Ovis aries: one gene and its partners. Each later gene encodes a partner of the first gene's protein in a complex. Links are inferred from orthologs where the notes say so. Each region holds a gene or a part of one and is shown on either strand. Other genes may lie near its edges.

The links.
Region 2: TADA3 (region 1) and TAF5 share a complex: the UniProt entries of both Homo sapiens proteins name them as parts of the TFTC-HAT complex. The link is inferred for Ovis aries from reciprocal best matches to the Homo sapiens genes TADA3 and TAF5.
Region 3: TADA3 (region 1) and SUPT7L share a complex: the UniProt entries of both Homo sapiens proteins name them as parts of the STAGA transcription coactivator-HAT complex. The link is inferred for Ovis aries from reciprocal best matches to the Homo sapiens genes TADA3 and SUPT7L.
Region 4: TADA3 (region 1) and TAF4 share a complex: the UniProt entries of both Homo sapiens proteins name them as parts of the TFTC-HAT complex. The link is inferred for Ovis aries from reciprocal best matches to the Homo sapiens genes TADA3 and TAF4.

The regions. Positions count from the first base shown.
Region 1 is NC_056072.1:16,892,507-16,900,603, forward strand, and holds the start of TADA3 (transcriptional adapter 3), read left to right. Parts: upstream 1-3,270; 5' UTR 3,271-3,489; exon of another isoform or gene 3,490-3,627; intron 3,628-3,746; 5' UTR 3,747-3,804; intron 3,805-4,483; 5' UTR 4,484-4,509; coding exon 4,510-4,716; intron 4,717-6,061; coding exon 6,062-6,312; intron 6,313-6,438; coding exon 6,439-6,544; intron 6,545-7,924; coding exon 7,925-8,066; intron 8,067-8,097. Other genes in the region: ARPC4 (actin-related protein 2/3 complex subunit 4), read right to left, coding at 302-420, 2,896-2,898. UniProt on the Homo sapiens protein: Functions as a component of the PCAF complex. The PCAF complex is capable of efficiently acetylating histones in a nucleosomal context. The PCAF complex could be considered as the human version of the yeast SAGA complex.
Region 2 is NC_056075.1:23,654,582-23,662,694, reverse strand, and holds the start of TAF5 (transcription initiation factor TFIID subunit 5), read right to left. Parts: upstream 4,166-8,113; 5' UTR 4,129-4,165; coding exon 3,570-4,128; intron 1,292-3,569; coding exon 1,054-1,291; intron 1-1,053. UniProt on the Homo sapiens protein: The TFIID basal transcription factor complex plays a major role in the initiation of RNA polymerase II (Pol II)-dependent transcription.
Region 3 is NC_056056.1:34,675,739-34,683,173, reverse strand, and holds part of SUPT7L (STAGA complex 65 subunit gamma), read left to right. Parts: intron 1-3,481; coding exon 3,482-3,806; intron 3,807-4,689; coding exon 4,690-4,927; intron 4,928-7,435.
Region 4 is NC_056066.1:54,788,467-54,796,444, reverse strand, and holds the start of TAF4 (transcription initiation factor TFIID subunit 4), read right to left. Parts: upstream 4,993-7,978; 5' UTR 4,933-4,992; coding exon 3,657-4,932; intron 1-3,656. UniProt on the Homo sapiens protein: The TFIID basal transcription factor complex plays a major role in the initiation of RNA polymerase II (Pol II)-dependent transcription.

The DNA of each region.
Region 1 (8,097 bases):
CTAGAGGGTTCACTACCTCCTTGGGAGATATTTCCCAAATGGCCCTATGTTGAAAAGTCACAACTTGTGTCAAGCAAATCTTGGCTCCAGAGTAGCTTCTCCCCTGAGTTTTGTCCTGTCAACCCACTGAGACCCAATTTTCTGAACTTCAAATTGGGAACCATCATTTACCTGGCAGCAAGACAAAAAATGTGAATTGTAGTCGTTCTGACAACTCCAGGATGGAAGTTCACGGCCCTCTCCGATAACAGTCCTCTCTGGGTGCTACATCCATCACCCCCTACCCCCTTTCCTCCCATACCTGACTTCTACTTCCGGCTTGTTGTGTCGTTCCACGACCTGGGAGGAGAAATTCTCCAAGCAGAGGGCAGCCTGCAGTGTGGCCCGCACGGCACTCAGGTAGGGGCGGAGAGTGGCAGTCTGGAGGAAAACCCCAAGGGACAATCAAAATCTGTCTCACAAAATCCACTGATCCCATAGTCCAGCTACACAGGAGCCAGGCAGTACTGAGGTCCTTGGCTCTCAGACACTGCAGTGAACAGAACAGACTAGGCCTTCAAGATGTCTTTCATTTTAAGACTAGAACAGTGGTTCTCAAAAGGGGACTGTTTTGCCTACCAGGGGACATATGGCAATGGCAAGACATTCTTCATTTTCACAACTGAGGTTGGGTAGGAGTTACTGGCATTGAATAGACAGAAGTCAGGGATACTGCTACATAGCTTACAATGTACAACAGAATTATTCAGCCCCAAATAGTGCTGAAGTTGAGAAACTCTGGTCTAGAGGCACACAGGTGAATAACTGTCTTCAATCTGCGCTTTGAGTCAACAAATGTATATATCTATAGTGTGCCAGGGCACACAAGGGGTTGGGAATTCAATGACCAAGACCATTTCTACCCTTAAATAGTTCAACCAGGTCAGGGAGACAGACAGTAACTATGATACAATGCATAAAATGTGAAATAGTTAAGATTTACAAATCATATTTGCAGAAGAAACTGGTTTTGATTTGAAGATGGAAATAGGATTAGGATTTTACAATGATAAAAACAAAAATGATATTCCTGGTAGAGGAAATGGCATCTAGCAACAAAGGACTTTCTTCAATTCCTTGTATTAGCTAAAAGTTCTTTTTCACCCCAGGCCTTCACACATGCCAAACCATCTATCTTGCAGGGTTTTCTCCCCCTTCTTTGCCTAAGTCATCCTTTAGATCTTGGCTTATTCAGAGAAGGCCTCTTCTTTCCTCAGAGGTCATTCTTGACTTCCCTTTTCATAGCACTTATAATTTACAATGATACACCCTTCAAATAACTCCAAGAAAAGTAATTTTCTCCTTTACTAAACTGAAAGCTCCATGGTTAACAGACCGTATCTATTCTACTCAAATTTACATACCCTGCAACTTGCTCAGTCAGGACCTTTCCTATACACCATCTTACTCAGTTTCTGTACAATAAGTGAATGAATGAAAAAATAACAAGATTAGAGTAACAAATAGGGGCATTACAGTAGTAATGAGTACAATGTTGCCAGGAAGCATTTTTTTAGATTCAATGGATGAGGTTGCAGATGGGGTCCAGAGATTCATGAGGAATCTCAAATGCTAGGCTACTGAGTTTAGCTCTTCTGTTAAAAGTGGTAAGGAACTTCTGGGGCTTTCTGAGGAGGAAGTTACACAACTACAACTGCATGGAGACTTTGTGGAGAATGGATTGGAGGAGAGGGAAGTGACAGAGCCAGCAGAGACGGTTATTTAAGTAGGGTAATAAGAGCCTGGCCTGGGGCAATGAGGGACAAGCAAGATTGTATCTGTCAAAGTTCATAGCAAATCTGAAAAAGGTACATTTTGGGTGGTCAACCCTATGACGTCTGCCCTTTCACAAATGGAGTAAGCACCTTCTTGTGTAATACTTCAACAAGTATGATGTTTAAAAAAATCAAGAGGCATCCCCTCAGTTTAACAACAAAAGAATATCCCAGGTTTCTAGCTGAGGTAAGAAAACACAGAGCAAGAATAAGGAATACAAGAGAACAAGCAAATTTAGGGAGAGGTGAGTTTTAATCCAGACGTCTAATTTCAAGGTGTCTTCAAGATATCCAGGTAAACCTTGAAAGAGAGCTAGGAAGGCAGATTTAGGAGTCATCATAAATTATATGGTCATGAAGACCTGTGCATTAAATAGGTATCGACAGGAAGAAGATAAAGAAGGGGAAGGCAGTGACCCAAACTCTCAATTGACGTTAAGAAACACCCACAATGATCAAAAGGGACGACTTCCTGAAAGGCAAAGGTCAGCGGCATCAGAGCTTAACATTCCATATTAAGGCTGATACGGTTGAATTCTGACCAGGAAGGGGTCTGCGTGGAGGCAGCAAAAGAGAGATCCTTCAGTGAGGTAAAAGTAAGAGCTGGTGGCAACATGAGGAGTGGGAAAAGGAAGTATGGAGGCTTCCCTCAGAGAACTGTGGGATCAAGCAAGCGAGAAAGAAAAGAGTTTATTTAGTGAACGTCTACTCTGGGTAGGGAGGTATTCCTACTACATGCCTCAGCGGCCCTACTACGGGCTATAAGGTGTACTACGTGCCTTCGAGGCGCTACCACAAACCGAGGAGGAGCGACTTCCGGCTTCTTTCTTGCCTCAGTATCCCCCACCAGCTTCAAAGGACAGAATAGGAAGCCTCAAAGCCTGCTTCTTACGAAGGCGTCCCCCGCTCGCCCCTTCCTCACCTCAGCCCCTGCCCCGCCCTCTTTCTTCCAGCCTCAGGGTACCCCCGCACCCCCAGCATCCCTCGGCCCAGGGCCTCTCCGCTCCAAAGTCGCATCTCCCCCAGACCCAGAGCCTAGAGGCAGAAGACGGGGGTCCCTGGCCCGAGGCCCGGCTCTCACCATCGCGGGCGCTGGCTGGGCCGGAAAGCGGAAGTGCGGAAGTGGCCCGCCCCGCGACGCCTGCCCTTTCTCCAGAAGCGCAGCCGCAGTCTCCGCCCGGACGTCCGGACTGTACCATCTGTGTTCCGAGCGGGGGAGGGGGAGGCTAAGAACATTTGGTCCCTCGTAAGTTTTCCCGTTAGGACTGTCTTAGTAGCTTTAGGCTTCTGTAGCTTAAAATCACTACTCAAGATTCTCCCGTTCCCCATGGAGCTCTTGCTTGTGACTTTGGCTTTCTCGTCTTTTTTCCGCCGCCTTCCCTCATAGTCATGCAATGGTGCAGCCCGACCTCAGGTTGGCACCATATTAGGGCAAGGCAAGGCGGAGGAGCCTTTCGATCCTTCCGGTTCTGCGCCCCCATCCTATCTTCAGGCCCCTCCTACCTGCAGCCTTTGGGGCTCGGCGAGACTAACTGCCGGGCCGAAAGCCTGGCTGCCGAGCCCCTCCCTCCAGCGCCGGGGTGTTCCCTAGGGTACGCCCGTGGCATACCTTCTGCACCCCACCTGCAAGCGGGCTAGCTCGCTGCCCGCAACCCTCCCCCACCAAAAGACTGGGGTTGGTACTCGCGTCTTCCCGCCCCCTTGTCAACTGCAGGGGGCCCTCACATAGCCAGTTCCGGGGCGGTTGCTCTCACCGACCGGAACTCTCCGCCCCTCCCGCGGCCCCGGGGCCGCTGGAGGCAGCAAGGAGAAGGTAGAGGGGGCGGGGGCCGCGATAGGGTGTCCTTAGAGAACTGGGACCCTGAAGGCGGGACATTGGGGCGATCCATGGGTGGGGCCAGCCATTAACCAGCCCCACTTTTCCTGTGCCAGGCACTGAACTGAGCTCTTGACTGGCATCAACTCTAAATCCTCAGAACATCCCAGGGAGGTAGGTACCATTATTACCCCATTTTACAGATTCAGACTTAAGGGAAAACAGATTCAGGCTTCTTTTGTCCCCATTTTACGCATGGAAAAACCGACTCAGAATCAATTAACATGTTCAGGGCTACATAGACATTGGTCAAGCCTGGGCTTGAATCCAGGTATATCTGGCTGTCCAGAGATCCAGGTATCTCTTTACTATGTGGGGCAAAGAGAAGGGGCAGAGGTGGGGAGGGGTGAGACAAGAAGAGGCTGGGAGGCACGAAGAACATTAGCCTAAGTACCGGATGCTTGGAACTCTGGGCTCAGCAGAACCCAGGAAGAGTGGAAGTGACGGGAAGAGCATCAGAAAGACAAGCATAGTAGTATAGTATATCATGGCAGTTAGTTGAACAAATTCAAAACTACCTGGATTCATGTTGGTAAGCTTGGACCTGCTGCATGCTTACAAAGTCTGTTTCCTCCTCTGTAAGATGAGGATGAGCATGGTCCCTGCTCTTGGGGTTGAGTGAGGAATTCAGTGAGTAGCCAGTAAAATGTCTGCCCCTCACTTGGCACACAGTAGGTGCTGTGAGAATAGTAGCTAAGCCATCACTCTCCCCCGAAGCTGTCGGTGGATGGAAGGAGCCCTTGGACTTTTCTAGTGCCACTTTTACCCCCATCAATGGTCCTTTCCTCTCCAGCTCCACAGGGTCCCCTATCCTGAGCCATGAGTGAGCTGAAGGACTGCCCCTTGCAGTTCCACGACTTCAAGTCAGTGGACCACCTGAAGGTCTGTCCTCGCTACACAGCGGTGTTGGCCCGCTCTGAGGATGACGGCATCGGTATCGAGGAGCTGGACACTCTGCAGCTGGAGCTTGAGACCCTGCTTTCCTCTGCCAGCCGACGCCTGCGGGTGCTTGAGGCTGAAACCCAGGTTATACCCTACAGAGGGGACATCACTACATGGATGTCACTACAGTCCGCTACAGGGATGGACTATGACAAGTTATGGGATGTGTCACTGAGTTAGCCTCAGCTGCTGAGGCCCAGGTTACAGGATCTCAGGGTTTGAAGAGAGAGATCCAAACATTGCTTGTGTAACACATAAAATATGCAAGAATGTGCATGATCCTTCTAAAATGTGAGATTTCTTATTCACTAAGCATCTAGGGACACCCCCCCCCCCCTCCTCACAATGTTCTGAGTCTGTAGAGTTAATTAGGACAATTCCAGCCTTTGGGGAGTGTGCTAACTAAAGGAAAGGGAGGTCAGACACGTATCAGGTGAATTGCTGTTCTGGTTAGGAGTACTGGGGGAACTGGAATGGGAGGCCTGGATTTGAATCCTGCAGTTTCTGAGTTGTGTGACGTTGCAAAACTTAACTGCCTGCTTCTGCAGATCAGTCCTCCATCTGAAAAGTGGGCTAGATAATAGGACCTACCCTCAGCTTTTGTGAGGATTAAGAGATTTTTTGCAAAGGCTCAGCCCAACGTCTGACACTTAAGAAAGCATATCAAATGTTATTTATTGGTCTGACTCTCATTATTTCTATTTATGGCATAAACATCCTCTGAGCCCTGTGTGCCAGGTGCTCTGCCAGAACTTGGGGACCAGAGATGGCTGAGATGAACTTCCTGGTCCCCAATAGCTTATAATCCTGTTGAAGAGACTAGGTACTCCGTTTATTCTAGTTATGACCAGATGACATGATTGGGCCTAGGGGTGCAAGGTACCAGAGACTCCTATAGAAAGAAGATGCCATTTTAACTGAACCTCATAAGATGAATAAAATTAACTTGTGGTCCCTGGGAACCCATGGAAGCTTTTCGAGTGGGGCTGTAGCACACAGCATCTAAGAAGCTAGATAGCTGATACAGAAAAGGCTTCCTAGTCATGGTGACATTTGAAGTGAAGGTTTGCTGGGAGGCATGCGTGCCTTCAATAGAAAGTTATCGCCAGCATATTTTCCTCGGGCTATCATGCACTGCGTTGTCATCTACCTGTTTGACCTGCTAAACACTGTGTGACCAGGTTGGGCGCTGCAGAGGTGAATCAATACAGACAAGTGAATGGAATGATGACAAGTATATGAAAAAGTCTTGTGAGATGGGCACAGAAAAGGAGCTGATTTTTGCAGTATGAGTAGAAGTTTGGTAGATAAAAAGAGGAAGGGGAGAGACTTAGAGCCTTCTTGAGTTCCAGATCCTAATTTTTCATGGGGAGATGGAGTTGTCCTGTGTCTTCCCTTCTCATCCTCAGTGACAGTCTTTGAATTTCAGATCCTCACTGACTGGCAGGATAAGAAAGGTGACCGACGATTCCTGAAGCTGGGTCGAGACCATGAGCTTGGAGCTCCCCCCAAACATGGGAAGCCCAAGAAGCAGAAACTGGAAGGGAAGGCGGGCCATGGGCCTGGCCCTGGCCCTGGGCGACCCAAATCCAAAAACCTTCAGCCCAAGATCCAGGAATATGAATTCACTGACGACCCAATTGATGTGCCACGTATCCCCAAGAATGACGCCCCCAACAGGTTCTGGGCCCGGGAACATAGATGGGCCTTGGGATTTGGGCACTGGAGGCTGTGGAGAGGCCTGGGGCTGAGGCTGGTGGGGCAGGGGGCAGGGGGCACCCCCTCAGGCTCTGCTTCTCCCTGCAGATTCTGGGCTTCGGTGGAGCCATACTGTGCTGATATCACCAGTGAGGAAGTGCGCACACTAGAGGAGCTACTGAAACCCCCAGAAGATGAGGCTGAACATTACAAGGTGAAGACCCCAGGCATGATGAGACAAGATGGAAACATCTTGGACATGATGGAGAACAAGAGGGCTCAGAGATGCCTCACAATTAACAGAGCTATATATCATCTTCCTTTTTCTCTCTCCCCAGCCTCCTGACAGTTCCATTAACTCACTTAGACGCCCAGGTTCTAGCTTTCAGCTTCCTCCCTTCTACCCTGCCACATCCTAAGGCATCTTCTTCAGTGCAGTCCTCCCTTTGTCTCTGTCATCCCCTTTGCTTTGGCTCAAAAATTCATCAGCTTTTCCCTTTACAGCCTCTTAACACTTGCTTGCCTCTAGAGGGATTCTCTTCTCTGCTTTTTTAATTGGATGCACCAGGTAGCATGTGGGATCTTAGTTCCCTGACCAGGGATCAATCCTGCACCCCTTGCAGTAGAAGTGAGCAGTCTTCACCACTGAACCGCCATGGAAGTTCCTCTCTCTCTTTTTTTTGTAATGTATAGAAGTTTTTTTATTTTTAGTTTTTATGATGAAAATAAAAGAGGTTCCGTTAAAGAAAATGTACAAAATACAGAAAAATGTTGGAGGGGAATTCTCCCATAGGTTCGCTATCATGATCAGAGGTGCTTATAACAGCCTTGTGTGGCTCCCATTGCCCACAGACTCAGGTCCAAGCTTCAGTCCTTGGTAGCACAGTGTCCTTGGCCACACCACCTCTTTACTGCTATTATTTGCCAGCCCCACCAAGCACCTTACCCTCACTCCAAGCTCACACAAGGTCCTTTCTGGTCTCTGGGCCTCTGTACATGCCAATCTCCCCTTGGCAAACTAACACCCTTCGAGTCCCTTACTGCACGTTACCTGCACCAAAATGGTTTTGCAGGTTTTCCAGCAGAAGGTTGGTCTGTCTGTTGCACTGCCACAACACCTTAACCTACTCTGTCACTCCACTTGTCTGAGTTTTTAAAAAACTTATTTGAAAAGGTAATCTATATGGGCAGTCACAAGTTCAAGCAGTGCATAAGCTATTTCTCTCATTTCTGACCTGAAGGCCTGTAGTTCTTTCGAGAGATAATAGCTCTCAACTGATATTGTCTGTGTACACACACCATTCTGCACGTTACATCATGGAAATTTTCCTGTATTGCCTTCTGTGTGTTTTAGTTGTTTATGTACCTGGCTTCTCTACTAAACTGTGAGTGTAGAGATTTTTCTCTCCTGTATCTCTTCTCACCTGAGCCTCAGGCCTCAACCCTGGACTAGATACTTGGGAGACATAAATGAAGGAAGGAGGGTGAGCGAAGAGCCTGTTGGCACTTCCAAGTGCACAAAGAGACCCTGCCACACCCCAGGCATTGCTGGCTGTATTTATCTCTTTGGGGCTGGGTGGGATGTCTCCCACAGATCCCGCCCCTAGGGAAGCACTACTCCCAGCGCTGGGCACAGGAGGACCTGCTGGAGGAGCAGAAGGACGGGGCCCGGGCAGCAGCTGTGGCTGACAAGAAGAAAGGCCTCTTGGGGCCCCTGACCGAACTGGACACTAAAGGTAAGTCCCTCACCTCCCTGCCCACCCCAGG
Region 2 (8,113 bases), on another chromosome or scaffold:
TTCCTTGGCCAATGACTAATGACATAAAAAAGGGAGAAATACTTGCACTTCCAGGAAGGATGTGCACCCTCCCTGCTCACTCGAACACTTATCTGATTTCTCAGAGCTGGAGAGTCACCATGTACCACAGTGGAAACTGCATGACAAGGATGTTAGCACTACATGATCAAGAGACACAAAGGACTCCATACCAGTCCTAGAATGCCTTCCATCATGAGAGAGAGAAACAGAATTTTATTATACTCAAGCCTATACTGTTTGGGGTTCTAGTCACTCTCATGTAATCTAATCCTAACACAGCTTCATACTGCTCTTAGTAGCAGCAGCAGTGCGTGTATGCTTAGTCGTGTCCAACTCTTTGCACCCCCATGGACTGTAGCACACCAGGACCTCTGTCCATATGATTTTCCAGGCAAGAATACTGGAGTGGGTTGCCATTTCCTCCTCCAGGAGATCCTCCTGACCCAGGGATTAAACCTGTGTCTCCTGCATTGCAGGTGAATTCTCTACTGCTCTTAGAAGCAAAAATAAAATTTTTATTTAGGCAGCTATTGTTTGATTTTTCAGTGAATCTCAGCCAAATCTAATCCCACCCAATATGACTAACTACTGATCTTAGGGTAAACAAAGACCCTCAACATGGCCTAAGAACCTGCCTGTCCCAGCCACTAACCAACCATCAAGCTTCATGTAGTACCAAACCCCACCCCCCATACTCTGCTCCAGCCACACTAGCCTTCTTTCACCTCGGGGCCTACCATGATCCTTCCTGCCACAGGGCTGTCACACAAGTTTTTCCCTTTTCTCTTCCTCTGGTTAACTCCTCTCCAGCCTTCAGATCCTATCTCAAACATCACCTCTAGGAGCCTTTCCTGACTTCAACAAGATCAAACCCTTCATTTTAAGTTTAGCAGAGGCACCAGGTACCTCTCCTTCATAAAGTATTTTTCGAGTTGCAATCTGACATTTGTGTAGTTACAGATGTATATAAACATTTTGTGTGTGTGTGTATATATATAGCTATATATACATATTTTTTATAAATTCACATACTTCTCAAAGAATGATTTTGCTTCATTCTCATGTTGATTGTAGACTAGTTCCAAATACATGTGTACAAATAGGGGATAAAAGAGTTGGGATAGTTCTGCCCGATGGCAGTCCAAGGAACATTCAATGAAGTGTTTCAGTCCGCTATAGTATTCTTCATACATCGTGGGGTCTCCCTGTTGGCTGTAGGCTGAGAGCACGGCACTGACATCTGGCTGGTCTTCCACAGCTACACTTCCAACTGTTTAAAAAATGAAAAATAACTTCAAGAAAATGACCTGACAAGCACCAAAAGACTAAGGCTGTTTTGTTAAGGTCCAGAGGAGAACTGTTTCACAGATGTTTGTCCCTCTCCTCTCAAACACTCTTCCCCGACACAATCACAAAATCTTTTAATGGGATTCAGTTTGTTTCAGTTACCCATCCAACACTTCCTTGGTTTGTCCACATCTTAAAATAAAAATTTTCAGATCAACAGCAAAAAGATTCAGCATTTTTCCTAGAGCTTCACTATTTTAAAAACAAATTTTATAAAACATGGTATGTGCAAATCAAACAACGGTATTACTCTTCTCTCAAGGCTCAGTGCAAATGGCACTCACCACCACAAAGCCATGCCCTGGAGTAACATTCCCAGCCCTCTGAGCTACCTGAGTATTTTATAACTTTTCAGCAACATATCTTATCCTGTGTTACCTTCACGTATGTCCATCTATCACTCCCTATAAAATACAACCATGTTAATGGTGGGAAGAACTTGCCTTTTATATTTCCAAAAGATAAATCTATTTTATATGCTTAAAACAATTTCCATAACCACCATTTCAAGGCAAAAAGCATGAGTATTTATTTGTAATATTTCAATACCAAACAACGATACATCTGTCAATCAAATGAGGGTTTGTGGGAAATTTTTTTTAAGTTGTGATTACAGTACTGTTATGCTCTTTACTGCACAAATTTTCAGTTTTTTTGGTTACTATGATGGCCTCTTTTCCTTTCTATTGGTTTCTCAGTTACAATCTGAAGGTCAAGTTTCTAAAGAGATGAGAGATTATAGCAAAATAATCAACCACATAATTCATCCATCTTATAGTTCATTCCCAAATTCAGATTCAAAAAAGATTCCTCTCAATCACATTTGCACACAGTTCTACTTATGGGTTACAGCGCTTATTCATACCTCACTCCTGGAAATGCTGCCAAGATTAGGTCTCATAAACACAGGTTAATTTGGCAAGAGGCTCTACAATGGGTAATTTAATTCAATAAACATTTTTTACTGGCTCAGGATCACCTTTGAAACTTTATGTTGTATATGACTTTTACTGCATGGACTTTTTGACAACAGTTGCTGAAGGAAAAGGGGAGCGGGAGCCTCAGGTGTCAGGGATAGGTACTTGGCATAAACTTGTCAGTGCCAGACATTTTACATATATATGAATCTCACAATAACCCGTTTAATAGAAGGAAAAAAACTCTCAAGCTTAGGAAGAGTAACAATCAGCATCACACAAGTAAAAGCAACAGAGACAGAAACTGAAGTCCAATACCTGTTCCTAAATGAATGGGTCTCAAACCTTGCCATAGATCAACATCTCTTGGAAGCATTTTTTTTTTTTAATCCTTAGAATATTTATTTATTTTTGGCTGCGTTGGATCTTACTAGCGGCTCCGAGGATTTTTCCTTGCCGCATGCGGGCTCAGTAGTTGCAGAGCGCGGGCCTAGTTGCCCCACGCTTGAGAGATCTTAGTTCCCTACCACGTTCCCACATGCCCTACGTTGGAAGGCAGATTCTTTTTTTTTTTTAGTTTTTATTTTTTAAATTTTAAAATCTTTAATTCTTACATGCGTTCCCTAACCACTGGACCACCAGGGAAGTCCCTGAAGCATTTATTTGAAAATGCAGATTCCCAAACTCCACCTTCACAGGATCTGATTCACTACGTCTGAAGTGATGCCCAGGAATCTGCATTTCTCTAAAAGATTTGATACCAATGGTATTTAGCCTATATTTTGAGAAAGACTGGCTTCACTATGTACCACCACTCTCTGGCTGTGCGGTCCAAAGCAAATACCTTGGCCTTTCTCGGTCTGGTTTCTCATCTCTAAAATAGAAGTACTGTCTACCTCACAGTGGAACTGTGAAAATTAAGATAAACAACACAAAATATTTATAGTAAAAGTACGCTAGTACAAATAATGTTGCTGCATCCCTGCCCAAAGCTCAAGAGCCCAAATAAGAACCAAAAGCCTGGAAGTTCCCGCCTCTCCGCGCCCACCGTCCCCATACATCCTTCGGCTCAATAGCTCTCCACAGCCTCTCGCTGGAACTGACAGCTCGGAAGAGGGTTTGACTGCGCAGCCGGCGCACTAGGGAAAGGGGCGGGCATGTGGCCCTAGAGGCGGGCCCAGGAAATTCAAAACAAGCCCGCAGAGGTGCAGGCCTGCCAGCCTCTGCCTTCCCGGCTCACTCCCCGCCGTGCCGGTCCTGCCTACCCCGGACCCAGCGGCTCACCTTTACCCGGAGCCACAGAACCTGTCGCTAAGCCCGAGACGGCGGCGGACCCCGAAGCGCCGCTGACTGGAGGATCCGGGGCCGAAGGGCCGGGCGCCGAGGCGGTGACCCGGCTAAGAAGCGCGCTGGCTGTCTCAGCGCCGGCGCTGTCTGCCTCTCCCGGGGCTCCGGAGCCCGCCACTGCCTCCTCCAGCAGCCGGGCCTCACGGCGCAGCGCTTCTTCGGCCTCGCGGAGGTTGCTCTGCCGTAGAAACTGCAGCACGGCGAGCAGAGTCTGTCGGTCGTGGGGAGCGCTGGCCTCCGGAGCAGCGGCGGGCACCGGGGCCGCCCCCGCCGGTGCAACGGCGGAGACAGCCACCGAGGGTTTGGGGGTCCCACCATCCCCGCCGGCCGACGACGCCGCCGCAACGTTCCCGCCGCCGCCGTTGGGGCCGCTGTTGGTTGTGCCGCCGCCACCTTCGCCAGCGCCGTCCCCCGCCTGCGGAGGTAGCAGCGTCGGCGGTCCCTCAGGCTCTAACTTCACCGCCACCTCCGTCTGCTCCTCTGCCAGCGCCGCCATCTTGCGGCTGAGCCACCTCGCGCCGTCAAGCGTGATTGCGTTTTCGCCATATGGAGGGCGGGGAGGAGCGTTTTACGACATCTCTGGAGGGCAATTTACGGCAGTAGGAGGGGCGATAAAGAAGGAGAAAAAGGAATCGCAGCAAGAGCAACTTTCAAAAGTGAGTGGCAAAAAGGCAGGAAGTGGGACGTCGGGGCAGCCTCTTGCATTTGCCGGATAATAGTTACATTTATTACAGACCAGCTATTTTTCAGGCACTGCGATGGACGTTTTACATTATGTGACCTTTTATTCAGCAGTCATATAAAGTACCATTATTCTCACGATACAGATGACTGAATCAAGACCTAAAGACATTTTTTAAATGCCAAAGTCACACAGGAGGAAAGCGTCAAGATTCAAAACCAGGTCTTTATCTTAAAAGCATATATCATTTACCAGAAGGAGGCTTCTGAGTTACTGGTAATGTTTATATTTTTTTCTGGATGGCGGTTACTTTTCTTTTTCCCATTTATGCCTTATAAAAATTAATTGGGCTGCAAGCTCACGTTTTGTGAACTTTACGCATATATGTTATATTTCAATAAAAAGTTTTTAAGAACCTGAATTTTGTGATTGTGAAATGTGTATATGCTGTATTCGTGCTATGTTAACCATTATTACAAGCAGGCCGCATTTTAGTTGTATATTTTAAAACAGTATGTGCCATTTTGCAACATGCTTCATAGGTTTAAAAGCACTGCTGCATGTTTGAGGACTTACGTTGTGGCTCAGACGGTAAAGAATCTGCGCTGCATATTTGGTCTCCTTTGACTCTCACAACGGTATGAGATAGGTGCAGACAAGAAAAGTGAACTTGGGACATGGGGAAGATCGAGTTATGTGAGGATTAAATAAGATAGAGTCCGTGTGGTCGCAAAGAGTCGGACACCACTGGGCAACTGAACTGAACTAAACACATAATAAATAACTATTGGTTATTTTTACTGAACCTTAAGCGGTGTTCTGCAAATGTTTCCTAAGAAAGTCTAATCATGACATACATGGTGATCTCAAGACTGAAATATAAAACTAGTGGAATTTGACATAATGTAAGATTATGAAACATGGGTAGGGGCAAGGGCAGAGAGGGGGGAGGAGATGAGCATTTAAGTTGTTCAGTTTCTTGCTTTACTAGCAGTTGCACCTTCCTCTGCATCTCATTACTTTTCTCTATGAATTTGTATTTCCCGGAAGGTATCAGCTACCTTGTCTACCCAGAAGGAGAGGCTAAAGCCTAGCATTGGTAAAAGGTGAAGGATGCACCCAAAACAGGAAAACCTGTGATGTGTTGGCCCCATCACTCCCTGTTTATCAACATACATGCACACATGCACACACACATATCCTCAGAGGTTTCACAGTTTTTACTGATCTATCAATTTCAGTGCCATCTCTAGGGTTGAGTGTGATGGGAGAGGTAGCCACTGGTGTGAGTTTACAATCTTGTTCAGTTCCTAAGTTTAAATTCACAAAGCTAAGAGTGAATTTAGAGTTTGCCTCCTAAGGTAGGTAATTGCAAAACTGACCTGCACTACTCCAGGAGCAACTTAATAGTGTGGTTATTGACTACTGCCACTGAATGTACCTAGTCTGAGCTAAGGTGTTCTCTAAGTGTGAGATATGTGCTGGATTTTAAAGACAAAAAGAATAAAATGGCTCAATAATATTTTTATTGGTAACATGTTGAAAAGTATTTTTATATGAGTTAAATATTAAAATTAATTTCCTATTTCTTTTTACTTTTTTGTGGAAAGTTTTCTGGAAATTTTTATTTACATATGTGGCTCACCTTGTATTTCTGTTGAACAAACTGATCTAGACCAGGAGCTTTCAATTTTTTTGGCCATGATTCACAGTAAGAAATATGTTTAACACCAGAACCCATAACCCACGTAGGTATGTGGATATTTATAAGTGAGACAAGTTTTAACAATAATATGTATAATTATCACATTGAAATATATACTCTAATATTTGATAGTCTGTTCTTTAAATAAAATGCTCAGTATGACTGATTAAATTTATTTTAATTTAATTTTTAAATGATCTGCAGTTTGAAAACACCAGATAGTTCAGTTCAGTTCATTCACTCAGCTGTATGCGACTCTGCGACCTCATGGACTGCAGCACTCCAGGCTTCCCTGTCTATCACCAATTCCTGGAGCTTACTCAAACTCATGTCCATAGAGTCAATGATGGCATCCAATGATGCCACCCAGAGGATACCATCTCATCCTCTGTCATCCCCTTCTCCTTCTGCCTTCAATTTTTCCCAGCATCAGGGTCTTTTCCAGTGAGTCAGTTCATCTCATCAGATGGCCAAAGTATTGGAGTTTCAGCTTCAGCATCAGTCCTTCCAATGACTATTTAGCATTGATTTCCTTTAGGATGGACTAGTTTGATCTCCTTGCAGTCCAAGGGACTCTCAAGAATCTTCTCCAACGTCACAGTTCAAAGGCATCAATTCTTCAGTGCTCAGCTTTCTTTATAGTCCAACTCTCACATCCATACATGACTACTGGAGAAACCATAGCTTTGACGAGACGGACCTTTGTTGGCAAAGTAATGTCTCTCCTTTTTAATATGCTTTCCAGGTTGGTCATAGCTTTTCTTCCAAGGAGCAAGTGTCTTTTAATTTCATGGTTGCAGTCACCATCTGCAGTGATTTGGGAGCCCAAGAAAATTAAGTCTGTCACTGTTTCCATTGTTTCTCCATCTATTTTCTATGGAGTGATGGGACTGGATGCCATGATCTTAGTTTCTTGAATGTGAGTATTAAGCCAGCTTTTTCACTCTCCTCTTTCACTTTCATCAAGAGGCTTTTTAGTTCATCTTCCTTTCTGCCTTAAGGGTGGTGTCATCTGCATATCTGAGGTTATTGATATTTCTCCCAGCAATCTTGATTCCAGCTTGTGCTTCATCTAGCCTGGCATTTCACATGGCGTACTCTGCATATAAGTTAAAGAAACAGGGTGACAATATGCAGCCTTGACGTACTCCTTTCCCAGTTTGGAACCAGTCTGTTGTTCCCTGTCCAGTTCTAACTGCTTCTTGACCTGCATACAGATTTCTCAGGAGGCAGGTAAAGTGGTCTTGTATTCCCATCTCTTTAAGAATTTTCCACATTTTGTTGTGATCTACACAGTCAAAGGCTTTGGCATAATCAATAAAGCTGAAGTAGATGTTTTTCTGGAATTCTCTTGCTTTTTCCATGATCCAACAGATGTTGGCAATTTGATCTCTGGTTCCTCTGCCTTTTCTAAATCCAGCTTGAACATCTGGAAGTTCATGGTTCACATACTGTTGAAGGCCAGCTTGGAGAATGTTGAGCATTACTTTGCCAGCGTGTGAGATGAATGCAATTGTGCAGTAGTTTGAACATTATTTGGCATTGCCCTTCTTTCGGATTGGAATGAAAACTGACATTGTCCAGTCCTGTGGCCTCAGCTGAGTCTTCCAAACTTTCTGGCATGTTGAGTGCAGCACTTTCACAGCATCATCTTTTAGGATTTGAAATAGTTCAGCTGGAATTCCATCACCTCCACTAGCTTTGTGGTGAGTGATCACATCATAGTGGTTATCTGGGTCATGAACATCTTTTTTTGCATAGTTCTTCTGTGGACTGAAATGTGTGAATTCCATTCAGATGGACTGAAATAGGTGAATTTAATTCAGATGACCATTACATCTACTACTACTACCATATCTACTATTGTGGGCAAGAATCCCTTAGAAGAAACAGAGTAGCCCTCATAGTCAACAAAAGAGTCCAAAATGCAGTTCTTGGGTGCAATCCAAAAATGAGAGCATGATCTCTGTTCATTTCCAAGGCAAACCAGTCAATATCACAGTAATCCAAGTCTATGCCCCAATCAGTAATGCTGAAGAAGCTGAACTTTTAACAGTTCTACGAAGACCTACAAGACCTTCTAGAACTAACACC
Region 3 (7,435 bases), on another chromosome or scaffold:
CAGATTTTTCTAGTTGTCCCCAAAATATCTTTTATTAGGTATGTTTTTCCCCAGTCTTGGACCTAATAAAGACCATGTATTCCATTTCATTGTTATACCTCTTTAGTGGCTTTTTTTTTTTGAGGTATAGTTGATTTACGGTATTAGTTTCAGATATTCAGTTCAGTTAAGTCGCTTAGTTTTGTCCGACTTTTTGCGACCCCATGAATCGCAGCACACCAGGCCTCCCTGTCCATCACCATCTCCTGGAGTTCACTCAAACTCACGTCCATCGAGTCGGTGATGCCATCCAGCCATCTCATCCTGGGTCGTCCCCTTTTCCTCCTGCCCTCAATCCCTCCCAGCATCAGGGTCTTTTTCAATGAGTCAGCTCTTCACATGAGGTGGCCAAAGTACTGGAGTTTCAGTTTTAGCATCATTCCTTCCAAAGAACAGCCAGGGCTGATCTCCTTTAGGATGGACTGGTTGGATCTCCTTGCAGTCCAAGGGACTCTCAAGAGTCTTCTCCAACACCACAGTTCAAAAGCATCAGTTCTTCGGTTCTCAGCCTTCTTCACAGTCCAACTCTCACATCCATACATGACCACTGGAAAAACCATAGCCTTGACTAGACTGACCTTTGTTGGCAAAGTAATGTCTCTGCTTTTGAATATGCTATCTAGGTTGGTCATAACTTTTCTTCCAAGGAGTCTTTTAATTTCAAGGCTGCAGTCACCATCTGCAGTGATTTTGGGGGTGTTCAACACTGTAATTCAATATTTGTATAGATTATACTCCTTTTAAAGTTATTATAAAATATTGGCTATATTTCCTGTGTGGTACAATATCCTTGTAGCTTATTTATTTTATACATAGTAGCTTGTACCTCTTAATCTACCCCATCTTGCCCCATCCTTCCCTCTCCTCACTGTTAACCACTAGTGTGTTCAATATCTGTGAGTCTACTTCTTTTCTGTTGTGTTCACTAGTTTGTTTTAGATTCTGTACATAAATGATATCATACAGTATTTGTCTTTCTTTGCCTCTTAAGTGTCTTTTAAGCTAGAATAACTTCCCCCTTTTATAATACATGATATTAATCTTTTTTAAGAGTTCGGGTCATTTGTCTGTTCCAAATCAGACTGGATTTGCTGATTATTTTCTCAAGATTCAGATTAAATGTTTGGTAAAAATGCTTCATAACTAATTGTGTTGTACATCACTTATTGCATCTGCCTGTTGATGATGATAATTGCTCCTATTTTAATTGTCCCAAACTAATGAATAAAGAAGAGAAATGGACTTCTTATGTAAGGTTTGCAGTTGGGCTAGATTAAGGCAAGATGATGTCATGGTGCATTGTCTAATTGGAAGTTTTGAAGACACTGGAATAGTGGAAAAGGGAACGAGAAATGTGTCATTACATGCTTGGCACATACTGGTATCGATGTGCCCAACTTCAGAATACTTACTCTGTAGCAATCAGTGGCACCCCACTCCAGTACTCTTGCCTGGAAAATCACATGGACAGAGGAGCCTGGAAGGCTGCAGTCCATGGGGTCGCTAAGGGTCGGACACAACTGAGCGACTTCACTTTCACTTTTCACTTTCACGCATTGGAGAAGGAAATGGCAACCCACTCCAGTGTTCTTGCCTGGAGAATCCCAGGGACGGGGGAGCCTGGTGGGCTGCTGTCTCTGGGGTCGCACAGAGTCAGACACGACTGAAGCGACTTAGCAGCAGCAGCAGCAATCAGTACCATTTACATTTTGAGAGCAGTTGAGCTTTTACAAAATAATACTGTCCCTCATATTAAATTGATGCTATTATTTAGAATTTGTACTTTTGTGTCAGTTTTCTAATTTTAATTGTTAGGAAGATTCTGTGAGCATCAGAAGGTTCAGTTCAGTTCAGTTCAGTCGCTCAGTTGTGTCCGACTTTTTGCGACCCCATGAATCGCAGCATGCGAGGCCTCCCTGTCCATCACCACCTCCCAGAGTTCACTCAGACTCACGTCCATCGAGTCAGTGATGCCATCCAGCCATCTCATCCTCTGTTGTCCCCTTCTCCTCCTGCCCCCAATCCCTCCCAGCATCAGAGTCTTTTCTAATGAGTCAACTCTTCGCATGAGATGGTTTTATATATATTTAAGAGACTGTAACAAAAATAATTTGCATTAGTTATGGGGCTGCAGGAAGAATTATTTTCCTTTAAAATGGGTCCACATATTAAGTAAAACAGTACTGATTTAGCTCTGTTTATTAGGCGCTTCTGAAGTCTTTAGCTTTTGGTCCAGAGAAACTGGCCATGGGAAATGATGATATAAACAGTAAATGAAAAACTACTTGACAGTTGGTTTTCTTATTTTCCAGTTATTAGGTAAATTGCAGTAGTTGCTACTGAGCAGATAATAGCAGCGTGGGTGAATAGCTCCTCAGGCACTCTGTACAGTAAGCACGGGGTGACAAATGAAAAGTGTTCTGGGAAGAGTCATTTTCTGCACCCGATTTTATTTTTATCCATTTACTTCCTTTGTCAGGGGAAAGCAGAAGATAGGAAATTTCAGGAGAACAGGTAAATTATCAGGAGCTTATTAAAAGTTACTTTTAGGAAATCAGACAGCTTTTGAAGTTTTTTTGTTTTGTTTTAGAAAGATAGGATTTTTGCCACAATGATTAGGTGCAAAACAGAGTATTATGAAGAACATAGGATCTAGAGTCAGAAGCTCTATTACTTTCTATTACCAAAAACATTTGGCAAATCACCCCCTCTGAACTTCAATTTCTTCACCTGCCAAATAGGAATAATAATATGGACCCCTACCAATTTCACAGCATAAAGTAGGATAAAAATGCTGTGTAAGCAATTGTTGTTCAGTCTCTCAGTCATGTCTGACTCTTTGCGACCCATGCTGCAGCAAGCCATGCTTCTCTGTCCTTCATTATCTTCTGGAGTTTGCTCAAACTTAGGTCCATTGAGTTGGTAATGCCATCCAACCATCTCATCCTCTGTCGCTTGTAAGCAATATATGTTTTAAACTGCTTTTATAAAATTGAATTGCTTTCCTATTTTACGAATGGTTTGTTGCAGTTAAATTCTAGAGGTTCATATATTGCCCAGCATGTGAGGAACCTATGCTATGCTGAAAATGTGCACCATTGAGCTATGCTCTTAAAATTTATCAGACCCTAAAAGTGATCAAGCAATTGATACAAGAAGATGGTAACTTACTTTTCAGTAGATACCCTTTTATACTGTTTACTATAAACACATATCACCTATGCAAGCTTTATGTAATTGGAACTGCTCAGGGATATGACTGTGGGTTGTTGAGACGTGCCCTGAAATGGCAGCAAGGTAAAACTGGACTATATAACCTGCCTAAAATTCTCCTGGAAAACTGAGCCAGACGTTTGATTAGGGTTGTAAACCACCTAGGAAGACAGGACAGGTCACCCCTTTGCAAGAGAACCAATGACACTCATCGTGTCTCCACTTTCAGGGGGAAAGGGGAGCCTGTGACTGAACTCAGCTGGCACTCCTGCCGACAGCTCCTCTACCAGGCAGTGGCCACAATCCTGGCCCACGCGGGCTTTGAGTGTGCTAACGAGAGTGTCCTTGAGACCCTGACTGATGTGGCGCACGAGTACTGCCTGAAGTTCACCAAGCTGCTGCGCTTTGCTGTGGATCGGGAAGCCCGGCTGGGGCAGACTCCCTTCCCCGACGTGATGGAGCAGGTGTTCCATGAAGTGGGCATCGGCAGCGTGCTCTCCCTCCAGAAATTCTGGCAGCACCGCATCAAGGACTATCACAGTTACATGCTGCAGGTGAGAGGACCCCGAGGAGGGGTGCACAAGGATGTGTGATCTGGGGGTGTTTAGTGGGATCCCTAACACTTGCCCCAGGGTGCAGAGCACAGGGCCTGGAATAGAATGAACTTGACTTTCCTCTTGGCCCCAGATGTGACCCACACTGACCTGGCCAAACCCAGGGTTCTTCTTCAGTCAGTGAAATTATAGCATGTGGCTAGCCTGTTCTTACTCAACACATATTTATGGAGTGCCTATTGTGCAATTTAGCAGTTTAATAGGACAAGTTCCTTGAGCTTGCATTCTTGTTGAGAGAGAGACAAAAACAGGTAAACAAACAATGATCAAAATAATTTCAGATAGCGTTAAGTGCTTTAAACCAGGAGCAAACGAGTGAGATGACACTGCTCTCAAAGGTAGAGTGTGATGGGGGAGATGGCGTTTTTGGTTAAAACCAGAACTATCTAATCTCTTCCACCCTTGTGGCCTTAGGCATTTTGTTCACTGTTTTGCTTTCCCCAAATCTGAAATATAAGAAATTCATAACACCCAATCGGCTTTGCTAAGTGATCCAGATGTCCTATAGCGCTCATTAGCCACTTGTTGTGTTTATGTCAAATGTTAGTTTTTATAGCCAAAAATGTCACCTTTTGTCCCAGTTCTGATATAATACATCTAAATATTTTACCTTTATGTACCTTTTAATTAATCACATACACATTCTCTGCCAAACAAATTTTCTTTACATGGCCCTGCCATTTATGAATTTCAAACTCAAATTCCTCCCATTAGCAGTGATGCTTTATTCGTATTCATCTTCTGTTTGCACCAGATGCCACAAGCTGACTATCCAACTTGCTTTTAATGTTCCTTTGGAAAATTGACTCTTGCTTGCCAACAGATTAGTAAGCAGCTCTCTGAAGAGTATGAGAGGATCGTCAATCCTGAGAAGGCCACAGAGGACACGAAGCCTGTCAAGATCAAGGAGGAACCTGTGAGCGACATCACCTTCCCTGTCAGTGAAGAACTGGAGGCCGACCTTGCTTCTGGAGACCAGTCGCTGCCCATGGGAGTTCTCGGTGCTCAGAACGAGCGCTTCCCATCTAACCTGGAGGTCGAGGCTTCACCACAGGCTTCAAGTAAGAGAGAACCTACCCATCTTGATTCTGGGAGATGTGCCAGCCTCAGTACTTCTTGCATTTTAGACTCAAAGTCTGGAGATGGAAGAGCAAAAATAGGGATGGGCAGGGGAATGGAAAGTCTAAGAAGAAATATAGCTTCACTGATCTAGAGATACAAACATTCTCTTCTTAATTAGTGAAGAGAGAACTAGCACAGTTTTACAGACATTCTTTGAAATTATTCCTAGTTAGGATGTAGAGGCAATGTTACTCTCTTCAGTTCAGTTCAGTCGCTCAGTCGTATCCTGCTCTTTGCAACCTCATGGACTGCAGCACGCCAGGCTTCCCTGTTAATCCCAATTCTCAGAGCTTACTCAGACTCATGTCCATTGAGTCAGTGATGCCATCCAATCATCTCATCCTCTGTCATCCCCTTCTCCTCCTGCCATCAATCTTTCCCAGCATCAGGGTCTTTTCCAATAAGTCTGTTCTTTGCATCAGGTGGCCAAAGTATTGGAGTTTCAGCTTCAGCATCAGTCCTTCCAATGAATATACAGGACTAATTTCTTTTAGGATGGACTGGTTGGATCTCCTTGCAGTCCAAGGGACTCTCAAGAGCCTTCTCCAGTACCACAGTTCAAAAGCATCAGTTCTTCAGCACTCAGTTTTCTTTATAGTCCAACTCTCATATCCATACATGACTACTGGAAAAACCATAGCTTTGACTAGACGGACCTTTGTCAGCAAAGTGATGTCTCTGCTTTTTAATATGCTATCTAGGTTGGTCATAACTTTCCTTTCAAGGAGTAAGCATCTTTTAATTTCACTGCAATCACCATCTGCAGTGATTTTGAAGCCCCCAAAAATAAAGTCTGACAGTTTCTACTGTTTCTCCATCTATTTGCCATGAAGTGATGGGACCAGATGCCATGATCTTAGTTTTCTGAATGTTGAGCTTTAAGCCAACTTTTTCACTCTGTTTCACTTTCATCAAGAGGCTGTTTAGTTCTTCTTCCCTTTCTGCCATAAAGGTGGTGTCATCTGCATATCTGAGGTAACTGATATTTCTCCCAGCCATCTTGATTCCAGCTTGTGCTTCATCCAGTCAGGCATTTCTCATATACTCTGCATGTAAGTTAAATAAGCAGGGTGACAATATACAACCCTGACATACTCCTTTCCCAATTTAGAACCGGTCTGTTGTTCTATGTCCAGTTCTAACTGTTGCTTCCTGACCTGCATACAGATTTCTCAGGAGGCAGGTCAGGTAGTCTGGTATTCCCATCTCTAAGAATTTTCCACAGTTTGTCTGATCCACACAGTCAAAGGCTTTGGTGTAGTCAATAAAGCAGAAGTAGATGTTTTTCTGGAACTCTGTTTTTTCAATGATCCAATGGATGTTGGCAATATGATCTCTGGTTCCTCTGCCTTTTCTAAATCTAGCTTGAACATCTGGAAATTCATGGTTCATGTACTGTTGAAGCCTGGCTTGGAGATTTTTGAGCATTACTTTTAGCGTGTAAGATGACTGCAATTGTGCAGCAGTTTGAACATTCTTTGGCATTGCCTTTCTTTGGGATTGGAATGAAAACTGACCTTTTCCAGTCTTGTGGCTACTGCTGAGTTTTTCAAATTTGCTGTTACTCTCTTGATGACAGTTAATTCAGCCGACCCAGCTAGGTGGACAGATGGCCTCCTGTTCTCTGTATTCTGGTCTTTCCTGGTGCTTGTGCTGAGTTAATTAAGGCAACTTCCAGATAAGTGGAGTAATGTTAATTGCTCAAGGATGTTTGAATAGTTGGGGTTGCTTGGTCAGAGTAGTACCAACAAGTTGAACCTGAAAGGGATTAAAATAGGGCAACTCAGTGATAGGCAGCTGGCTGCTTCTTCCAGACAGACTCCGTGATTCCGTTCAGAACCAGATGGCTCAATGATCCCTAAGTCAAAAAGACTGCAAATAACTCTAGAGGCTCAGTTCTTTACAATTTATTTATTTATTTATTGGCTGCGCCATGCATCATGTGGGATTTTAGTTCCCTGATCAGGGATCAAACCTGAGCCCCCTGCAGTGGAAGTCTTAACCACTGGACTTCTAGGGAAGTCCCAGTTCTTTAGAAATATAGATTATGTCATCAATGACCTAACGATGCAAACAGCCAGTCTTTCAGTGTGGCCTAAACAGAATTAGACCACATTTTCAAAGTACTGGGCAGAGAGCCTTTCACCATGGGAGATGTAATAACCACAGAACAGCATTGCTAGAAGACACAGAGGCAGGAGAGCCAGAAAGAAATTCTTGCAGACATAGGGGTCATGTCTCTTTTCAGCAGTCTGGGAACTGCTACCACCATTTTGTAGTGATCACTAACTTTCCATAATGTGAGAGAGAACCAGGGACCCAAACACAAGGCAGAAAAACAAGACAGCCCTGTAAAAGGACAGGCAAATGTAACACTTGCCCAAGAACCCATGGTTGTACCTACCTTTGAACCATGAATATTTCCACCTGCATAGCTTTAGTTTCCC
Region 4 (7,978 bases), on another chromosome or scaffold:
TACTGCTTGAAGCTGATGACAAAGGCCAGGGAGCTGAGACAGCATGTGAATAAACACTACTTGACAGTCGTGCACGGTTCATCCCAATGCAGTTTCACAGCCTTCACAACAGGGTCAAGCCCACTCTCTACCTGGGGAAACTGAGGCCCCAGAAACCATGTCTTCTGTCCCAGGTGAAGAGTGCCCTCAAGTGACAACATATAAACTCCTAAGGCTATCCCTTGTGCCAAACACTTCTGCAGAAGTCGGCCACCAGAACATCCTGAGCCCCAAGCCCTGCCATCCTGCTCAGAGTCGACCATCCCAGAACTCAACCCGGTCTACACAGAAGCTGGCCCCCAGGTTCTTCTTCCTCTTTCCCCACCATCCAACAGTTCCATTCACCGAGGATGGGAACCCCACCCTAGACCCCGTCTTTCCAAGCACAGCCACCTTAAGACTATTCATCTTAAGTCAGCCCCATGCCAAGTCAGTCCTGAAGCCAGGATATAGAGGAAAGGCGTTCTCTCCTGGAATGAGAACTGTACTTCAGCCAAACCTGAGCATCACAGGAGGACAAATTCTCCATGAAAGCAGAGCAGACAGAGACACACACTACTGAATATGCAAACTTGCCAACAAAAGATAACCTTTAGAAATGAGCATCTCTAACGTAACACCTATCTGAAAAGATCTCTTAAAACCATTTGCGCACATGCTAATTTTGGTGTCATATCACTTTTCTCTCCTTTCAACTACAATCATAATATTACTTTTATGTTATGACTACTCTAAGCTGTATAGAACTAACTAGTGCTCTTCACTGTTCTTGGGACCACCGCCTTTGCTACAACAATCTCTCTGAAGACTCACGTGTTCTCAATATTCCCCACAGCAGATTAAAACTGAGACTCTGGTTCCTTCAAACAAGTAAATTAATCACAATAACATCAACGTCTCTTTACAAAACCATCCTGACAAAGACATCAAAACTGAATCTACTGAAACCAAATTCAACAGGAGCTCACAGTGGGCTGGGAGGATGAAATACGAAAGGCCTGGCGGCCCTCAGGGACTCTGTGAAGCCTCTGTCCCTCTGTTTCCATCACCACCACCCACCGACAGTGGGGCAGGCCTCTCTCACCGGTACTCAATTGCCAACAGTCTGTTATTTCACTTGACACCTATGTGTAGCTTTGAAAACCCTGCCCACCCCTAACCCCTGAGTACTAACCAGAGTGCATTATCAGCCAGGCGATAGCTATTTTCACAAGTTAATTCCACCTCTGCTTTATACATTTTTATAATGAGAGCTTTCAATGAACAGGAGACCTCAAGTAGAACTTAGTGTCTTCCAATCGATCAATTACATGAGGTAACTAGAATATTCATAATCTGTCACTTTGATTTATAAAATTAATTTGTACTATTTAAAAGAAAGTACTTTGTTGTGGGGAACTGGTAGTAGTTTTAACTATGCTTTTTCTGCTCCTGCTTTTATTAAAATGATGGAACAGAATTAATCAGAGCTCCAAATGAGCGGATCGACTGTGGGGGTAGGGGAAGCATGAAGAGATGGATGTGAGTTTATTTTCTAGAAAGCATTTGGCCCCTTTAAAGCACAGCTCTCCGCATTTGTCACCCAAATGTCAACATGAGCTGTTCTCTACTCATACACACACACACGCACGCGCACGCACACACACACACACACACACGGGACTACCGCAAAGACTCATGAGAACTCATGCAAAGAGTCAGCACTTTTACAGTTTTCTTCAAGGAGTCGCCTACTTGTCACATGCAGACATCCTTAACACCGCCGGTAGAACAGGAGATGAAAGTGCGTCCAGGGTCAATCATGACAAAGCTGACAGAGGCGCCCTTTCAGAACCACAGCTTCCTCCCCCAGAAGGCGGCAGGCAGTGAAGGCTGCACCTATGCAGAGGCGAGGGGATCCAGTCAGCCCCAAACCGCCACACCTACAGGCATCACACGAGTGCCCCGGGGGGCCTCCTCCGCGGGCACAGCGCCAGCCTCACCAGCTCCACTGACTCACAAACTTCACTGACAGTTTTCAGAACAAAAGCGTCATGCAGGGAACTGTCCTGGCCAGGAGTGGGGCAGGGGCTGAGAACCACTGAGGGGATACTTTAATGAGTAACTAAAAAGTATTTTGACGTTTTACATAACCTGTTACCACCATGACTTCTCTTTTTTAAGCGTCACTAGAGATCAAACATATTTTCCACTAAAAGGTCAAAATACACATAATGTGCAAAACAGAACCTTTAATGAAAACCTCCTACAAACTCAAAAACAAAGCATGTTGTAAGAGGCACCCTGCACCTCTCAGGTACCTACTTCACATCACCTCCTCCTGGGATCAGGGCAGCCCTCACGACCACCCCCAAACAGCACTCTTGGCTGGAACCTTGCCTCCTCCCTTCTGTGGTGTGAAATCAGATCCCTGCCAGGTGCCGCCACCGCTCCAAACCTCACGGCACTGTGACAACAAGACCTTCCTTCTAAGACGCTGAAATCCTCTCAAGGTGACCAACGGCTGCTTCGGAAAGCACGAGGGGACGCACACACAGGCGGTGCTGCTTCCACTGCTCCTGCCACCAGCACACGTTACTACACGGCAGGGGAGGAGCGCTCTGCGTCCACGCAGGCCAGGCCGGGGATGGAAGCAGAGACTGGGAGCCTCCAGCGCTGGGGTTTCTCTCTGCCCAGCAAGCCCGAAAGAAAGCAGCGGGACACACTTAATGCCACGGGGACCTAGAAAGCCTTAAAAAGCTGCCCAGAGAACAGAAGATGGAGTGTAGGTTTGGAGACACTGCCTGTCCTCCTACACCATCTGTACCTCCAAAAGACTCACTGAACGGGGAGCCCCAGCCCACCGCTGACTGCATTGGTAACAATCAAGGTAACCGGGCGTCCTCCAAGTGAGGACTCCGTGCAGAACCACACGGCCACTACGGGAAGTGCTGAAAAACGACTGCAGGAGCCGCGTGAGGCAAGGGCTGTGACCAGGAAGGGTGTGTGCCCCGGGATCCCTACAAGCTCACCTGGGAACTCTGCCATCCTGGTGTCAGCAGGGGAGCAAAAGCTTTCCACGCAGGCTTGCCCAGCCTCACGGAGGGGGCGTCACTCCCCTGACCTCACCGGGAAAGGGGGTCCCTAGACCACCAGAAGGGGACACCAATCACAGACCAGCCCAGTAACAGAGCAGAAGAGTTCAGTGAGGACACAAACCATATGCCTGATCCCAGAAACCAGGGAGAGAACAGCCAAACGTGGGGAAGTCACCGGCCCAGACTGAATAACCCAGCAAGTTGTCCCGAGAGCGCCAGCTGCTACTGCTGTCCACTGTGGGGGCACCGGGCAGGGACACACAAGGCCAGGAGGAGAGAAGAGGGCCCACTCGGCGGAAGTCCCGACAGAGAAAGTTCCCCAACGCAAAGTGGAGAGTAGAAGCCAAGCCCCGCACAGCTAAGAGGCCCCAGCAGCCACATCACGCAACACTAGAGCACATACAGGCCCGGGACCGGCCCGGACCGGGGCAGAGACGCACCGGCAGGGCTTCATGACCTCCGCGTCCTGCCAGCCAGACAACTTCCTGGACTCCCGGCTGGGGAGCACACACACAGCCGCTCGGCGGCGCGGCCACTCACCTGGGGGCAGCTGGAAGTTCTGGATGTTGGTGGGGTTCTGCGGCGGCTGCGGCAGGCGTGGGGCGAGGACCGTGGGCGTCAGCGTGGCCCGGATCCCGCCGGTGGTGGCCGAGGGCGTCCTGGGCAGGCTCTGGGTCACCGCGCTGGCCGAGCCCTTGGGCAGCCCGGTGGGGGTGCCCGGGGCCGGCGGCGGGAGGCCGGCGGCGGCGGCGGCGGGCAGTGCCCCTTGCATAGTTGGCCCGAGGATCATGCCGGACCCCGCGCCGGCCGGGCAGCTGGTCGCCAGGGTCTGCGGCGGCGGGGGCGCCGGCTGCAGCGCGGTCTTGGGCGAGTCGGCCTTGGCCACCTGCGCGGGCGCGGCGGCGGGCCCGGGCTGACTGTTGGCGGCGGGCGCCGGGGCGGGCGCGGGCGCGGGGGCCGGGGCGGGCGTGGGGGCGGGCGCGGGCGCAGCGCTGCCCCCGTTCTGCGCGGCCGCCGGGGGTCCGGCGGGGGGCCCGGGCGGCCGGGCCAGGCTGGCGGCCGCGGGCGGCGGCGGCGGCGGGGCGGCGGCGGCGGGCGCGGGGGGCGCAGGGGGCGCGGCGGGCGCAGGGGCCGCGGGGGGCGAGGGGACGCGGGGCGCGGGCGCGGCGGGGGCGCCGAGGAAGGGCGGCGTCTGGATGACAGTGGCGGCGGCGGGCTTGGGCGGCGGCGGCGCGGGCGCGGGCCCGTTGTGGAGCAGGCTGACAGCAGGTGCGGCGGCGGCGCGGAGCGAGTTCCCCAGCGCGGCGCTCCCATTCAAAGTTTGCGCGGCGCCGGGGCCGCCGGGCGGGCCGTTGCGGGCGGCAGGCTTGGCGGCGGGCTCGGGAGCGGCCGCTGCCCCCGGCGGGCAGGCCCCGGCCGCGGCGCCCGCTCCGGCTCCGGCCCCGGCGCCCGCGCCGGCCTCGAGCGCGCTCAGCTTCGCGGCGGGCCCTGCGGAGACAAGCGGGGCGGCGCGGTGAGGACGCGGGCCCGGCCGGCGGCCGCCCGCGCTCAGGCCGCGCCGCGCTCTACCTGCGGGGGGCGGCTCCGGCGCCGCTGCGGGCGCGCCCTCGGCCGGCACGGCTCCGGCTCCGACATGGTTCCCGAGCGCGCCGGCGGCCGCGGCCCGCGCCTCGGGCGCGCGGGGCGCGAGGTGGTGGTGGTGGGCCGCGCTGGCCGCCAGCTGCGACTCGAGCGAGCCCACCAGGTCGCTCACCACTTTCTCGTCCACCTCGCTGTTGAAGAAGACCTCGTCCAGCAGATCCGAGCCCGCCGCCATCTTTCCTCCTCGGCCCGCCGCCGCCGCCGCTCGGCCGGCGCTGGGCGGGGAGGAGGCTCCGCGCGGGCGGGCGGGCGGGCGGGCGGGCGGCCGCGGGGGCGGGCGGGGGGCGGCGCGCGCCGGGCGGGGCGGGGGCGGCGGCCGGGCGGGGGGCGCGGGCGGCCGGGCGGGGGGGAGGGCGGTGGCAACGCGGTGCGCAGGCGCGGCGGCGTGCCCGCCCCCGCCCGCCGCCCGGCGCCTCACCATTGGCCGCGGCGCCCCCCCGCCCGGCTGCCCGGCGTCCCGTGATTGGCCGTACCGTGCACTTAAAAGGCGCGGCCAATGGCTGCGAGCGGCAGAAGCCGAGGCGCGGGCGGGCGGCCGGGGGTTTGCGGGCTAGTGGGCTGGGGGCCCGGGAGTCCTTGGTCTGGCGGGGATGGTGGGGTGCAGGTTGCCGGACGGGCCAGAGGCTGACGACCCGGAGGACAAGACGGGCGGGGACCGCGGCTGGGGCCTGGTGGGGGCGGCAGCAATGACTGGCTCTTTGTCTCCGCTTGCTCCAAAATGGCTGCGGCCGGAGCTGATGGGATCGCCGGGCGGGCGGGCGGGCGGGCGAGGGAGCGGGGACGCCTATATCGGAGCTAAGGCCGCCGCAGCCCGCGGGAACCCGGCACCCCTTGAGGGCACTGCCTGGGGGCTGGGTCAGCGAGGTAGCCTGGGCGTCGTCGCCATTGCTCCCGGGCGGGCGCAGGCCCCGAAGCTCGGGGCACCGGGCGGGGCGAGCGCGGGCCTGCCCCCCGGACCGGCGCCTCGGTCCGCCCGAGACCGGGCGTCTTGCGCTGTGATGTCCGCAGCTTGGGCGGCGGGGGCGGGGCAGGGGTCGGCGCCCGAGGCCACGCCAGGGTGACTCATCTCCTCCGGCTGCGCGGCCCCTGGCCGCGAGTGTCTGTAAATCACTGGGTGAGACGGTGGTGCCGGCCGGGACCAGCAGCTCGCGTAGGGAAAGGGAGCGTCCAGCTTGGAGGTTTTCCTGGGGTCCTTCTCTCCCGTTCTGTCCTTTTGACGAAGTAAGTTATTTAAAATAACCTTACGAGCACCTTCTCTGTAGGAAGAATTCACCTGAAATTCTCGCCTGCGTTTTTTGTTTTTTTCACCGAAAGATGGTATTCTAGTACATGTCTAGTGGTTTCCTCTCTCTTTTGGGGTGGGGAGGGAGGAGGGTAGACCCAGAGAAGCGCCTCCGGCAGAACAGGCCACACCGCAGTCACACGGCCCGCAGCACAATGCGGGAAGCTGTTGACACACAAATGATCTTTTCTACCCGCCTAACAAAAGAGCCGGCGGCCCCCGCGAGCCCAGCTCCCGGGGCGGGTTCAGACAATGAGCGCGGGGGTTGGAGCCTGCGAAGGGGCCTCCCCGGGCGACCGCGTCGGGGAACCCCTGCAAAGAGAGAATAGGAATTTTGCACCTGAAGCTGACTACTCAAAACACAGGAAAGGAAAAGGGTGGAACAAACCTGGGCTGGGGGTACCTTGAACTCGGGGTGCCTGGGTCCCATCCCCACCGGGCTTTGAGCCCAGCGGGGGCCGACGATCTGGTTTGCGAGCAAGAGCAGAAATGTGGGAATATGTGTAAAATCTGATCTTTAATGTTGACAACTCATCAGAAAATGTTAAGTGAGCCAAACAAAAGCAGGCCCCGGGTGCCGTAGTGGGAAACAGAGGGGTACACCGTGATCTGCAGTCAGAACACCCAGATCGGAGTCGGGACAAAAGTGACAGCCGTGCTACGAGGCAAACCACTGACTGACGCGAGACGGTCAGGCCCGGGGTGGGGGGGAATGGGGGGTCCCCTCTCGCCCGCCCCTGTAGTTACTGGGATCTAAAGTGAAAGGAGCAGGTGGTACCGTCTCGGGCCCCTCCTGCTTTCCCATAGAGGTCCGCCCGCCAGGACCCCTCCAACCCCGGGGCCCCTCCCCCGCCCAGGCCTCCGCGCCGCAGCGGTGCTGACATCACCCCCAGCGTCCTCCGGGGCGCCCTCCGGTCCGGCAGGAAGTGGGAGGTGAAGCGTCGGTGCACCGTCTTCCCTCCCCACCCCGCTCCGCCGCGACTCCGCTTCCAGACGGGGTCTCTGCGCCCCAGCGGAAGGTGGGGGCTACCAACAGCTTAGGCAGCTCTTACGTCTCGGACACCCTGCAGAGACCTGCCCGCCCCGGAGAGTGGGGGAGGGGCGGTAGCCACGTGGCTCCTCCCCTCCTCCCTATGGTGGGCGGGGAGATGCTGCCAGACTGTTAACCTTGGCCACCCTGGGGACTGGAGCATTTTCTTTGAATATCTCTGCATGGTTTTGTTCCCACAAGAAGCTTCCGTAAGACTTATGTAGTTTGAAACAAAAATTCCACCTAGCATGAAAAGAAAAACGGGCCCGAAAACGAGTGTCAATATACACACCAGGTTTAAACATGGAAAAATGTTTGCTGTTAAGTGAGAATGGCAGAACCCCAAAACAGTATATCGTTGCCACCCACAGCGGTGCAAACGTCCAAAGCCATGAGCAAAAAGGAGACCTCCCAGGCTGGCAGCTATGTGGGACTATCGGGTTTATTAAGCGGTATATTGTCTTTTCAATAAAATAGAGAAGATATCAGACACGTTCTCTTAAATATAAGAATAAACATAATCACAAGTCTAATTTCAGTGTTCTATATTTGTGAAAGATATACAGCATGTTACCTATGCTTTTATTGTCTGCCTAAAATACCACACCATAAAACAATTTTTTGAAAAAAGACATACAGCCCGGTGGCAGTTGGTGACCCGGCCCTGGTCCCAACCAGCAACACAGCCTCAGTGGGCTGTGCTCTGGTCAAGAATGGATCCGCATCCCAGGGGCAAGCTCAGTAACACATAACTGATTGTAAATGCAGCTCCATGAATCTCTTACAGCCGCTGTAACATTATCACAAACTTGAGGGCCTAAAACAATAGAAATTTGTTCTCACAATTCTAGAGACCAGAAGTCCAAAATCAAGGTGTCAGCAGGGCCACACTCTGGAGAATGGAGGAAG